Linked DNA regions of Macaca fascicularis. The protein of the gene in region 1 purifies or fractionates together with the protein of each later gene. This does not show direct contact. Links are inferred from orthologs where the notes say so. Each region holds a gene or a part of one and is shown in the gene's direction. Other genes may lie near its edges.

Region 1 (3,984 bases):
TGATTCTTGTACATTTTGGAGATTTTGGAGGTGTGTTACACAGAATTTAGGGTGATAGCCCCTGTGTTTTCAGGAGAGGGTGTGTTCTGCCCTTGCCTGGAGCTGGGCACAATCCTATCCACTGGGGGGGGGGGTCACCCTCCAGCCTGACTCCTCACCTCTCCAGACCACCTCCCCCAGTCTGGGAGTCCTCTGAGCTGCCCGGAAGCCAGGGTGGTTCCTTCGGGCGGGGAACTTTGCATGGCCAGGGTAGTTCCTTTGGTCAGGGAACTTTGCATGGCCACGGTGGTTCCTTCGAGAGAGGAACTTTGCGTGGCGTCTGAATGGAGCAGGCCTGCGGAAGGGAAACCGCTGACCACAGACGGGCCTGGAAGTCTCGGGCCGCGGCGCTGGGGGGGCCGGGCCAGAAGGGAGGGGTCGGAGTGGTGGGGGAAAGGGATCACGATGCTTCCGGGGTAGGGTAAGGCCTTTCCAGGGTGGGGTTGGAATCTTTGAAGACTGTAGCAGGAATCCTTTGATAGGTGGGGTTAGGATCTCTGAAGGGCAGGGTTGGAGTCTTTGGACCGGCGGGATAGACCCCTGGGGATTAAAACTCTTAGGCGGCGGCAGGTTGGGATCGCGCAGGATCAAGAGCGGTATTGGAACCCTGGGGTTAGTGTTCTAAATCTTTAAGGCAGGGTTAGAATCCACTGAAGTGAGAGTTCGGATCTTTCCATTGGGCAGATTAGAATCTTTGGGGGCAAGTTTAGTTTAAAAATCCTTTGGCGGGGCGGAGTTAGGATCTTGGGAGCATGGGAGCGGGTGCTGGGGTTCTTAGACGGGAGGGTTCGAATCCCCAGGGGTGGCATTTGGGATCCTTCGGAGACTGCGGTAGGACGCTGGGCGGTGGGATGGGGAGGTGTTAGGGAGAGTAGAGCGGAAGGAATGGAGGTTAACATCCTTGGTGGACGTGTTAGAAGCCTCCGATGGATGATGCTAATTTTTTTTGTTTTTTCTCTTGGTGGCGGGTTTGGGATCCTGCTTGCAGGAGACGGAGGTTATGACCCTTGGGGAGCAGGTTAGGAACCTGGGGTGGCTTCTGAGTCTTCGGGGCGGCGTTAGGACACTTGGGGCGGAGTTAGCATCGCTCAGGGCGCGGCTAAAGCGCCCAGATGGCCTGCGGGCACCACCGCGTCCCTGGTCCCAGTCCGGGAGCACGTCGGAGGCTTAGAGGCGAGTGGGAAGGGACCCAGACAGTGCAGGGCGAGACACGCCCGCGGCACCAAAGCCCCTGCGAGCGCTGCCCCCGCCTCTAGTTCTAGAAAGTCAGTTTCCCAGCACTGGCACCCCGGAACCTCGGGGGCTGCCGAGCTGGGGGGGCGCTCGAGCTGCGAGGATCCGGGCTGCCCGCGAGACCAGGAGCGGGCGCCCAGGTGAGTGCCGCGCACAGGGGACCGGGAATATCCGGCCCGCGAGGGGTCCCAGGCGGCGGAGGGAGTCTAGGGGAGTGGGGAGGGCTGGTTACGGGTGCTGCTGAGGGCAGCGAGGAGAGACGGGAACGTCGGGGGAGCCGCGGGTAGCCTGTGATGAGGGGTCGACAGCCAGGGGAGGGTGCCCAGGAGAGGGGCGGCACTGCTGCGGACTGCTGGATGCCAGGGGGAGGGGAGGGGAGGCCCGTGCAGTGACTTTATCCACCACTTCTCTGGGCTGTCCAGGTTCCCCTTCTGCGGCGGGGTGGGGGGGATTTTTTTTAATTAAAAAAAAAAAAAAAAAAGAAGAAGGAAGGGATGGGGCTTCACAGAGCCTGGGGGGGAAGGCCCTTACGGTTCCCGGTGGGGGCCGGGTCACGCCGGGTTGGCAGCCGGCTTGGGGAAGGGGGCAGTTGGGCGGAGGCCTGACGTGTGAGCCACACCCAGGCCGGCTGCAGCTGGTCGGCTCTCTGCCCCTCCTCCCACAGCAGGTCTAGGTCAAACCCCTAAACCTCCTGGCCCAAGACTGCCATGCCCTGACACTTTCCTCCTTGTTGGACGAATTCTCCCTCTCAGGATTCGTTTCCTCATCTGTAAGCCGGAGCTATGAAGTCTTTCTTGCAAGGATGCAGGAAATTGGAGTATGTGAGAGGTGGTGCCTGTGAGAGACAGTTAGGCTAGTGGGTAGGGGAGGGGGCTTCTAGAGGCAAACTGCCTGTTGGGCCTGGGGTAGAGGATTTGGCCCTTCTTTGCTTCTGTTTTCACAACTGTAGGATGGGGAGAGTAATAGTACCTCCTTCACAGGGTTGTTTAGAGGATTAATTGGATACTGAAGGAGCCGGGTAGGGTGACTCACTCCTGTAATCTCAGCTTTTTGGGAGGCTGAGGCAGGTGGATCTCTTGAGGTCAAGAGTTTGAGACCAGCCTGGCTAACATGGTGAAACCTCGTCTGTACTAAAAGTACAAAACTTAGCCAGGCGTGGTGGCACATGCCTGTAATTCCAGCTACTCTGGAGGCTGAGGCACGAGAATCACTTGAACCTGGGAGGTGGAGGTTGCTGTGAGCTGAGATCGCGCGGCTGCACTCCAGCCTGGGCGACAGAGAAAGACTCTGTCTCAAAAAAAGAAAAAGAAAAAAAGAAAGAGAGAGAGAGAGAGAGAGAGAGAGAAAGAAAGAAAGAAAGAGAAAGAAAGAAAGAAAGAAAGAAAGAAAGAAAGAAAGAAAGAAAGAAAGAAAGAAAGAAAGAAAGAAAGAAAGAAAGGAAGGAAGGAAGGAAGGAAGGAAGGAAGGAAGGAAGGAAGGAAGGAAGGAAGGCAGGCAGGCAGGCAAGGTAGTGAAGGAAAGCTCTGAGAGTACTGTCTGACAGTACACAGGCTTAATGTATCTTAACATTGCCCTAGCTAGACACATGGCCCCGCGTTCTCAGACTTCAGCCTACATCAGCATCACCTGGACTGCTTGTGAAAACACAGATTGCTGGGCCGAATCCTAGAGTTTCTGATTCAGTAACTCTGTGCAGGACACTAAGAACTTCCATCCCTGGTGATGCTGCTGCTGCTGATCCAAGGATGGCACTTTGAAAACCACTGGGGTAGCCTATGCCTGGCACAGAAAAAGGCCTCAATACATATCAGTTGCCTTATCCCATGGTTTTTTCTTTATGGTCCTTTTTTTTTAGGGGAGGGGGTGACAGGTTGAAATACAGAAAAGTGGGCCGGGCACGGTGGCTCACGCCTGTAATCCCAGCACTTTGGGAGGCCGAGGTGGGCGGATCACAAGGTCAGGAGATCGAGACCAGGGTGAAACCCCGTCTCTACTAAAAATACAAAAAATTAGCCGGGCGCGGTGGCGGGCGCCTGTAGTCCCAGCTACTCGGGAGGCTGAGGCAGGAGAATGGCGTGAACCTGGGAGGCAGAGCTTGCAGTGAGCCGAGATCGCGCCACTGCACTCCAGCCTGGGCGACAGAGCGAGACTCCGTCTCAAAAAAAAAAAAAAAGAAATACAGAAAAGTGAAGAGAATAATATATTAAATATCCCAAGAATCCACCATCCAGAATTAACAGATGATAGCATTTTGTTGTGTTTGCTTCAGATTTTAAAAAATTAATTTACTAAAAGTAACAGAAAAATTTGAAGTCTCCCCACCTTGTGTCACTCTCAGTCCTGTTTCTATCCCTCCCCAGGGGGCAACCGCTGTCGTGATTACAGTCCTTCCAGGCTGTGCCTTTAAAAATGGATTGTGTATAAGTGTATGCATAAACAGCACATATTATTGTTTTGTGTGCTTTAAAAATGCTATCTATGCGGTGGCTCATGCCTGTAATCTCAGCTGCTCGGGAGGCTGAAGCAGGAGAATGGCTTGAACCCGGGGAAGCGGAGGTTGCAGTGAGCCGAGATCGCGCCATTGCACTCCAGCCCGGGCAGCAAATGCGAAACTTCATCTCAAAAAAAAAAAAATAAAGCTATCTAACTGTGAGACTTTTCTGCAATTCTGAGAAAGGGGATAGCAGAGGAGCATATTTGCCCCTTCTTATC
Region 2 (4,116 bases), on another chromosome or scaffold:
CCGGGGTGTGGGTCCGTGCGCGCGCGTGCCCGGGCCGTGACAGCCACTGATGTGCTGGACTGCCAGGGTAGAGGTGAAGAGGGAGGGGGAGGAGATGGGGACTCCTCCGCCCCTGGCCGCCCACTCGCGGGTTTGAATGAAGCGCGAGGGGGAGGGGCGGCAGCGGGAGGGCGTTTTTGTCCGATGGCCCCTCCCCCTCCATGCACTGGGGAATTCCCCCCATCTGGAGACTTTCGCTCGCTCTCTCCGGGCACCGCCTGCGACGTCGGCTCCAGGGGAGACTGGGAAGAGGCGCCCCTCACCCGAGTGGCTGGAGCTCCTCCTATCCAGCCTGACCCCCGATGGAGCACCCTTTAATCTAAAATAATCCTGGCCCGAGACTGCAACGCGGCCTATTATCCTGGTATAAAAGCGTGGATTGGGATGCGTGGAAGTGTGAGGCCAGGGCCCTGCATGCTTAGAGTAATGGAGTCCTTAGAGCCCCGGCGGAGGAAGGGTACCCCCAGACAAACGGGGAGGGACTATGCGTGACCCCAGACTGTGACGAAAAGGAAAGCCCCCTTCCACCCCTCCAAGATTCCCCCACCAAGCGCGGGACCAGGAATACGCGCCGTAGGCTAGACTCTAGCGACACCCAGCGGTCACGCGGGGTGGGGCGCCGAGACCCGTTATGGGGGGTCCGGGTGATTCCAAAGTGTGTGTGTGTGTGTGTGTGTGTGTATGTGCGCGCGCGCGAGTCCTTGCTGCTAATGGCCGGAGCTGGAGGACGAGGAGAAGGCTCCCAAGGCAGAGCCACAATCTCCCCTCTATGTTTAACCCCTCAAGGGGAGGGCCATACCACCCTCTATTTAGACACCCCCAGGGCAGGTCCAGTCCTCCTCGGGCTGAGAAAGTCCCAGGAGTCGTCAGGCGCCCCTCTCCAGAGCAGGCTTAGGTCCCCGTTTACGAAGGGCAGGGGGAGGGCCTTCCCGCCGTGTCCGTACCCCTTGCAGACGTCACTGCGGCGTAGCTGAGGGGACAGTCCTCTTAGTCTCATCAACCGTCCTCTCCCTGCCACCCCAAACGCCCACCGTGGAGAGGCGGGAGATGAGGGGGGCTAGGAGTTGAAGTGCCCACTCGTATGCCCCCAGGAGACCTAGCGGAGCCCCTGCGCCCGATAAGGTGGAGTCTCTGCGGGAACTTCAGGGGACTGGAACGCTTGCGCAAGGCCCTTTAAGGCAGAATGGGTAGCCAGTGCCGCTGCCGCGGTTACTAGGGATGTGACGTCAGGCATGGGCGGGGTTTCCCCCGCACTCGGGCGGAAGCGGAAGGGGCGGGGCTCCGCGCACCAAGTCTCCAGCGCCGCCGCCGTCGCCGCCAACCGAGCCGTAGCGGGCTGGGCCGCCAAGGCAAGATGGTGGACTACAGCGTGTGGGACCACATTGAGGTGTCTGATGATGAAGACGAGACGCACCCCAACATCGACACGGCCAGCCTCTTCCGCTGGCGGCATCAGGTAAGGCGCGCGCGCCCATCCCTTTCCCCACTCCCGGACCCCGCTCCAGAGTTGTGGTCCCCGATACTGCCCAGGGACCCCACTGTTCACACCTAGGATTCTCACCCCCTCAGTCTGGACTTTCAGGAGCCTCGATTCAACTCCAGGACCCCAGTACCACTGGTACCCTGAGTCCCTGCTCGGGATCTCCCCCCAACCCCCTGCTCCGATTTTTGCGTGGGATTCCCTATTCACCCCCTAGAACTTCTTCAGTCTGGACTGCCTTAGACGAGTCTCCCTAATTCTGTTCGGAGTTAACATTTACACCCAGAACTCTGCCTCAAAGTTTGGTCCCCAAATTCTTCTAGATGATCCCTCATCCTATTCGGGTATCCACTCCCTATCTGGGATCTCACGTCGCCCTCCCCCACCTCCGTAGTCTGGACCCCCAATACTTTGGTCTGTCCTGGGATCTACTTTCCGGGATCTTGATCCGGGGTTCCCATTCAGATCCGGAGTCGCCACTCCTTTTCTAAACGGTACAAGGAACTCTGTGCTACTCTGATATTCCTGTCCCTGCCCACACCCGGGACCCCCTTCCTAGAGTGTAGAGCCGTCCCCCTTCAGGATCCTTAGTCTCACCGAGGACTTCGGTTGTGGAACCTGGTTCCCCTCTGGATCTAACTACCAGCTCCACCCCGACAGAGCCTCACATTCCAGCCTCTCCTTTGGCCTCGGGTAGACCCATTTCCCATTAGACCAGGAAATCCTGCCCACGTGGCTTCCGGCCCAGCCAGAGCCCCTGCCCCTACTTGGTATTGCAGACCCTGTCACCACCCACCTCCCAGACTGGCTTCCTGTATGAGCCTTGGCCAGCATTGGAAACTCCCCTAACTCAAGCCCAGGACCCCAAACCCACCCCACCTTGTGTCCCCAACCTGATCGCTACTCTGTGACCCAAATTGTCCCTGCTCTTTTCCAGGGACTCCTGGTCTGATTCTAAATTCACTACCCCTTCTTCTATCGGACCACAACAGAACCCCCAAATCCAGACCCCAGAATCCCAAGTCTGAGTGATCCATGTCCTACCACCCCCTCAGTGCTCACAAGCCAATGGGGTGACTAAGACTTAAAGGTTTAACCTCCTGCTACCCCAAATCACATATCAGTGTCTGTTGTACTCTTTTTTTTTTGAGATGGAGTTTCCTTGTCGCCCAGGCTGGAGTTCAGTGGCACAATCTTGGCTCACTGCAACCTCTGCTTCCCGGGTTCAAGCAATTCTCCTGCCTCAGCCTCCTGAATAGCTAGGATTACAGGCATGCGGCACCACGCCTGGCTAGTTTTGTATCTTTAGTAGAGACGGGGTTTCTCCATGTTGGTCAGGCTGGTCTCGAACTCCTGACCTCAGGCGATCCACCCACCTCGGCCTCCCAGAGTGCTGGGATTACAGGCGTGAGCCACTGCACCCAGCCATGTTGTACTCTTAAACTAAGGGCATATACCTTTCAGAACCTTCTAGTGAGGATCTCTTACCCCACCCTCTCATAGGACAACTCCCCATCATTTATCCAAGAAACAACTAGAAGTTCCCTTCCCCATCATTTTGGAATACTCCAGAATACGGCATTAGTCTCTTTATCTAGCTCCCAGTCCCACCTCCAGACCTCTTCCTTAAATCCTGAGTCTCCTGGGTAGTGTACCTGCCAAGCGAGCCACTGGAGTGTGGGAAGAAAGTTCTAGCGCTTCTATTTCTTGCCGTGTGTAACATTTTATTATGAAATATTTAAGACTTCCACAAAGCTCCAAAGACTATTCTTGGGAAGACCTATTTCTGTCACATAAAGAGGTTAATCTTTACTACTGTGGAGAATGGTTTGGTCCTGCCGAGTGGGAGGGCCCCCCTCCTGCAGCGTAGCGTACCTGCCACACCCTCCTCCCTCTGGCACGGAGCTTTTCCTGTCCTACCGCTGAGAACCCGGTGGTTGTAGTGGCACGTAAGGGAGGCAGGGGGCTTCAGCGTCTCCAGCACAGGTTCAAGGACAGGCAAGCTTGCGTTCCAATCCTAGTCCTGCCTCTTGCTGCTTCTTTCTTTCTTTGATGTGGCAAGACTCAGGCCTCCCTGATCCCGTATGAAACCTGGGATACTATGACCCCACCTCCCTGAGACTTTTGTAAGAATAAATTAAGATTGGGCAGGAAAACTTGGGGCAGGTTTGGAAGGAAGCATTGTGGAGGGGAAGGAGAGATCGCTGTGGTTCTGAGCACAGGCCTGACTAGGTTCAAATCTCAGCTCTGTCTGTGTCACTCACATGCTGCGTGAGTGCCAGGGAATTGTTTGATTGCTCTGTGCCTGAGCACCTGAGAATCTGAATGATGTCCACCCCATAGGGTTGTTGTAAGGGTTACCTTATTCGTTTAATATTTGTAATCCTTTTGGGGCAGTAGCTATTACCGTCATCATCATTTAAATAATTTTTGTGAATGGTTAAAAAAAAATTCCACAGCCACATGTGGGGACACATGCCTATAGTCCTAGCTACTCAGGAGGCTGAGGCAGAAGGATCATTTGAGCCCAGAAGTTCAAGTCCAGCCTGAGCAACATAGCAAGACCTTGTCTGTCTTTCTTTTTTCTTTTTTTTAAT
Region 3 (3,979 bases), on another chromosome or scaffold:
ACCTCAGCCTCCCAAAGTGTTGGGATTACAGGTATGAGCCACTGCGCCCAGCAGAGAAAGTGGAATTTCTATGCTGGTGTAAGATTTGAGATTTTCCCATTTAGAAAGTCTTCAGGAAGCAGCTGAGTCTTGACACTGAAAGGATCCAGCTCAGGGTAAGCCCATCCACAGGAGTGATTCCTGCTTTGGATTTGGGTCCTAGGGGTGAGATCACATCCCTGCTCCATTTCTGGAGCAGAAAGGGAGCCAGCGTAGCAAGGGCTCTGAGTAGAGGGACCCTGGGAGTCACTAAAGCCACTTCCCTGTTGATATAATGTACACACTGGCTTTCATCCGCTCACAGGACAGTGAGAGTTTGTGAATGCTCTCTGTGAACTGGGGAGCAGATTTTTAATGACGTAGGTCCCTCTGCTTAGAAGGAGAGGGTATGTTAAGGGATCACGCTCCCTCTGGTTTGCGGTTTTGGTCAGGAATAGAGCACCCAATGCCCCTTCTTATAGACTTCTCCCAGCCATACGCTTTTTGCAGACCATAATGAAAGGGAGAAAGGATATAAAATCGGGATGATGATGGCAGGCATGGAGAAGTTGACAGGGACAAGGAAGAGGAAAGCAAGGGACGTCCTTTTTCTTTGGTATTCAACACATGAACAAAGCTTGTTAACGAATGTAGACTGGGTAACAGGGCTGGTGAGGGAGGACGACGTGGGTGGCTGTGGGGAAACTCTTCCCAAGCATCCTAGGGGTGGGCCAGGAAGGGGACTAGATGGACATCTACAGGGCACAGAGCAGGGAGCGGCTATTCTCTCCTGGAGGGGCTGTGGGTCCAGCAGGCTTTCGGATGACGCCTTGGAAAGGCAAGGACAGCTTGCCGACTGGAGGGCAGGCAAAAGGGCGGAGACAGGCCAGAGACGGCGGCCGCAGTTCACTGACCAGGAGTATGGCCTAGGGGTTCTGGTGCCAAGGCTGAAGGGGAACAACTTGGCCAGCCGCTCTCTGGCCGGCGTCTTCACGCGGCCTCCAAGAGCTCCTGTTGCCCTGCAGTGGCTCCTAGAGACTCCCTCCTTCCCACGTCCAAATAGCTGCAGGAGGGAAGTGGGAGAAAAAAAGCGAACCAGCTTGAGAAAGGGCTTGACGTGCCTGCGTAGGGAGGGCGCATGTCCCCGTGCTCCGTGTACGTGGCGGCCGCAGGGGCTGGAGGGGGTCCCTCCCGTAGCGACTCCAGTCTCAGAGTGCAAAACGGTACGCCCGCAGAGTCGCCCCAGGTGCTTGGGTGTTGTGTGATTGACGCGGGGAAGGAGGGGTCAGCCGATCCCTCCCCAACGCTCCATCCCATCCCTGAGGATTGGGCTAGTACTCGCGTCGTCTCCGACAGGTCAGAGCCGGTCCCCGGGTGGGGTCGCTGCAAAAACCCTGCTCTGGCCGCAGCCGGAGAGGCGGAGCCCCGCGGGGAGGGGGCGGGCGGGGGCGGGACCGCCGAGACAGGCCTGGAAACTGCTGGAAAGCCGCAGCGCCGCCGCGCCTTCCGCCGCATGCCGGCAAAGAGTCCCGCCGGCCCCGGCCGGCGCCCTCCCCCCACGCTGAGATACCCCACACTGCGAACCCTCCGCCCTTCCTCTGCTCCTGGGAGAGTCAGGATCTGGTGCTACCCAAGGTCGGGTCCCGAATGCCAGTCCCTGTGTCGGGATGCGAAATGTGTAGGGCATATGCTAGGAAGAAGATTGGGTATGGGAGCAGCGGTCGGAGTGGTTAGCTGCCTCGGCTCTTTTTAGGTGTTTCCCCCGGGCTCTGTCCTTGGGTGTGGGGACTCCTGCCTCACAGGTTTTTAGGGAGGTCAATGGATTCCTCGCCCGTAGAGACACCGTATATGCCAAATGAGCACTCCTTATCCCAGCTCTTGATGGGGTCAGGTCCTAGACATGAAGATATGGGGCTGTGATCACAAGCAAACGTGTGGGTGGATCCGTTGCTTGGGTTCTTCCCCGCCCCCTCCTTTTTTCGGACCATGACGTCAAGGTGGGCTGGTGGCGGCAGGTGCGGACTTGACAAGCATGCTCCTTTAAGGCGGAGGGATCCACGGGAGGGCGGCTGTTCTGTGCTTCGCCTTATATAGGGAGACTTGGGGCACGCAGTAGCTCTCTCTAGTCACTCCGGCGCAGCGTTTTGTGCCTGGTAGTCATCAGAAAGCAAGCCCACGTTCTTCTCTAATACGTGTAAGCCTTTTCTTTTCAAGGTAAGGCTGAATTCTTCGTTAGGCTTCTTTAGTGCTCTTTCGTGTTGCTCTTGTTTTTTTCTGTCCTTTAGGGAGCCTAGATACCGGGGTGGCTTGTGGATAACGCCCTGGATTTTTATAGGGTGAGGGTAGTGGTAGGTGAGGGCTCTTGAGTTTTCCTCGGTTTTCTCTAGTGTGCTTGGGCGGTGGGGCTTTCTCTTGGCTCCTCCTAGCCGTAGCGAGGTGGGCTGTGGGGCTGGGGCAGTGCGCGGCGGGCAGCTGCACGTGGTGGCCGCGCGGCCCGGGACGCTGCCATTTTTGCTCCTCCACTTCCGGACGCGGCTATAGGGCGTCGGAGGGGGACCGCAGGATGGCGGGGGTGCCTGCTCGGGTGACTCAGCACGGCCCTGTGGGATTGGCTTTGCCACCTCTCTTATCGGACGCGTTGTTAAAGCCGCCTTGGGTGCTTTGTTTCTGTGAGGGTTCATGGTGTGGGAGGAGCGCTTTCGGTCTCCAGCACCCCATACTCCCTCCTTCCAGATCTTTCTTGCAGTCCCGGTGGAGGAGGGTTGGGGAGGGGGGCAGGTTCTGGAAGATTCATGGGCTCCCTCCTCCGCCCGTCCTCTAGAGCTGAGATTGTTCTGGAAGCTTCTGGATTCTGGCGCCCCGCCCCAGTGCCCGGATGCTGGGGCGAAGGAGGGTGCACGGCGGCGCCCCCTCCTCGCGTGGTCCCTGCCGACGCATGTCCGGCAGTGACGAGTGTCGGCCTGGTGGTTACGGCCACCATCTTCCTTGTGTTGGGTTTGGGCCTGTTCTGTAATTTTGTCCTGTGAAGGGGTCGTAGTGGAGCTTTTGGCTTATCGATTCTTTGTCCGGATTTAATTGCCCCTCGGGCGGGTATCCTCTGGATCCCAGGTTATTCCTCCCTGCAGTGTAGGGTAGGAGTGTCCCGCCCTTGGGCTGGTCTTAGGAAGACATCTCAGGGGGAGCAGTTTAAAGTTAGTGCCAAACTAGTTACTTTGATCTCCAAATGAAGAACTGTAGGTAGCGATTTTCACATTTAAATTTGTGTAAGGATTATCTGGGATCTCTGGATACCTGGGTTGGACCAGCATTATGAGTTTCTGCCATACTACCGGATGACGTTGAGACTGCTGGTCACCACTCTAAGTAGCTGGGTTCTGTGACATTTGGTTGAAGAACATTCAGCTTATTTTCTTTTTCCTTCTGAATTTTCAGGCTTCCCACTTAGTGTGTAGCCTGAGATCTTTTAAGAGAATGCTTTTTCGGTCTTTTCGGAAGGGCTAGTACTCAGGTCAAACCAGTCTCAACTCTTAAGGTCCTAACAAATGAGATGACCTTTAGGATTTTAAAATGTGAGGCCTTCATGTTTTGTAATTAATGATCATTTTTATTTTAGATGCCTGAGGAAGTGCACCATGGAGAGGAGGAGGTGGAGACTTTTGCCTTTCAGGCAGAAATTGCCCAACTCATGTCTCTCATCATCAATACCTTCTATTCCAACAAGGAGATTTTCCTTCGGGAGTTGATCTCTAATGCTTCTGATGTAAGTGCTGTGGTTTCTATATTTGGTGTGTTTATTTTTTTGACACTCTTCGTAGAGAGGAAAGGAGTGGTTTGGCCTTTGTTGGGGATTACTATTGAAGGGGGTAAAGTTGCAACTATTCCAAAAAGATTTGTCTTACTCTCTGGCCATCTTGAACTTGAAAGGGAAGTGACTATGTCCAGAAAAAGTGGGCTCATGTAA

Evidence for each region. The genes of interacting proteins can lie anywhere in the genome.
Region 2: the proteins of HCK (region 1) and CDC37 purify together in Homo sapiens (affinity purification with mass spectrometry; 3 studies listed by BioGRID and IntAct, with this or other methods). This does not show direct contact. The link is inferred for Macaca fascicularis from reciprocal best matches to the Homo sapiens genes HCK and CDC37.
Region 3: the proteins of HCK (region 1) and HSP90AB1 purify together in Homo sapiens (affinity purification with mass spectrometry; 3 studies listed by BioGRID and IntAct, with this or other methods). This does not show direct contact. The link is inferred for Macaca fascicularis from reciprocal best matches to the Homo sapiens genes HCK and HSP90AB1.

The regions. Positions count from the first base shown.
Region 1 is NC_088384.1:88,140,032-88,144,015, forward strand, and holds the start of HCK (tyrosine-protein kinase HCK), read left to right. Parts: upstream 1-1,178; 5' UTR 1,179-1,412; intron 1,413-3,984. UniProt on the Homo sapiens protein: Non-receptor tyrosine-protein kinase found in hematopoietic cells that transmits signals from cell surface receptors and plays an important role in the regulation of innate immune responses, including neutrophil, monocyte, macrophage and mast cell functions, phagocytosis, cell survival and proliferation, cell adhesion and migration.
Region 2 is NC_088393.1:10,965,624-10,969,739, reverse strand, and holds the start of CDC37 (hsp90 co-chaperone Cdc37), read left to right. Parts: upstream 1-1,308; 5' UTR 1,309-1,393; coding exon 1,394-1,495; intron 1,496-4,116. UniProt on the Homo sapiens protein: Co-chaperone that binds to numerous kinases and promotes their interaction with the Hsp90 complex, resulting in stabilization and promotion of their activity. Inhibits HSP90AA1 ATPase activity.
Region 3 is NC_088378.1:127,269,974-127,273,952, reverse strand, and holds the start of HSP90AB1 (heat shock protein HSP 90-beta), read left to right. Parts: upstream 1-1,171; 5' UTR 1,172-1,374; intron 1,375-2,136; exon of another isoform or gene 2,137-2,232; intron 2,233-2,555; exon of another isoform or gene 2,556-3,126; intron 3,127-3,631; coding exon 3,632-3,778; intron 3,779-3,979. UniProt on the Homo sapiens protein: Molecular chaperone that promotes the maturation, structural maintenance and proper regulation of specific target proteins involved for instance in cell cycle control and signal transduction. Undergoes a functional cycle linked to its ATPase activity.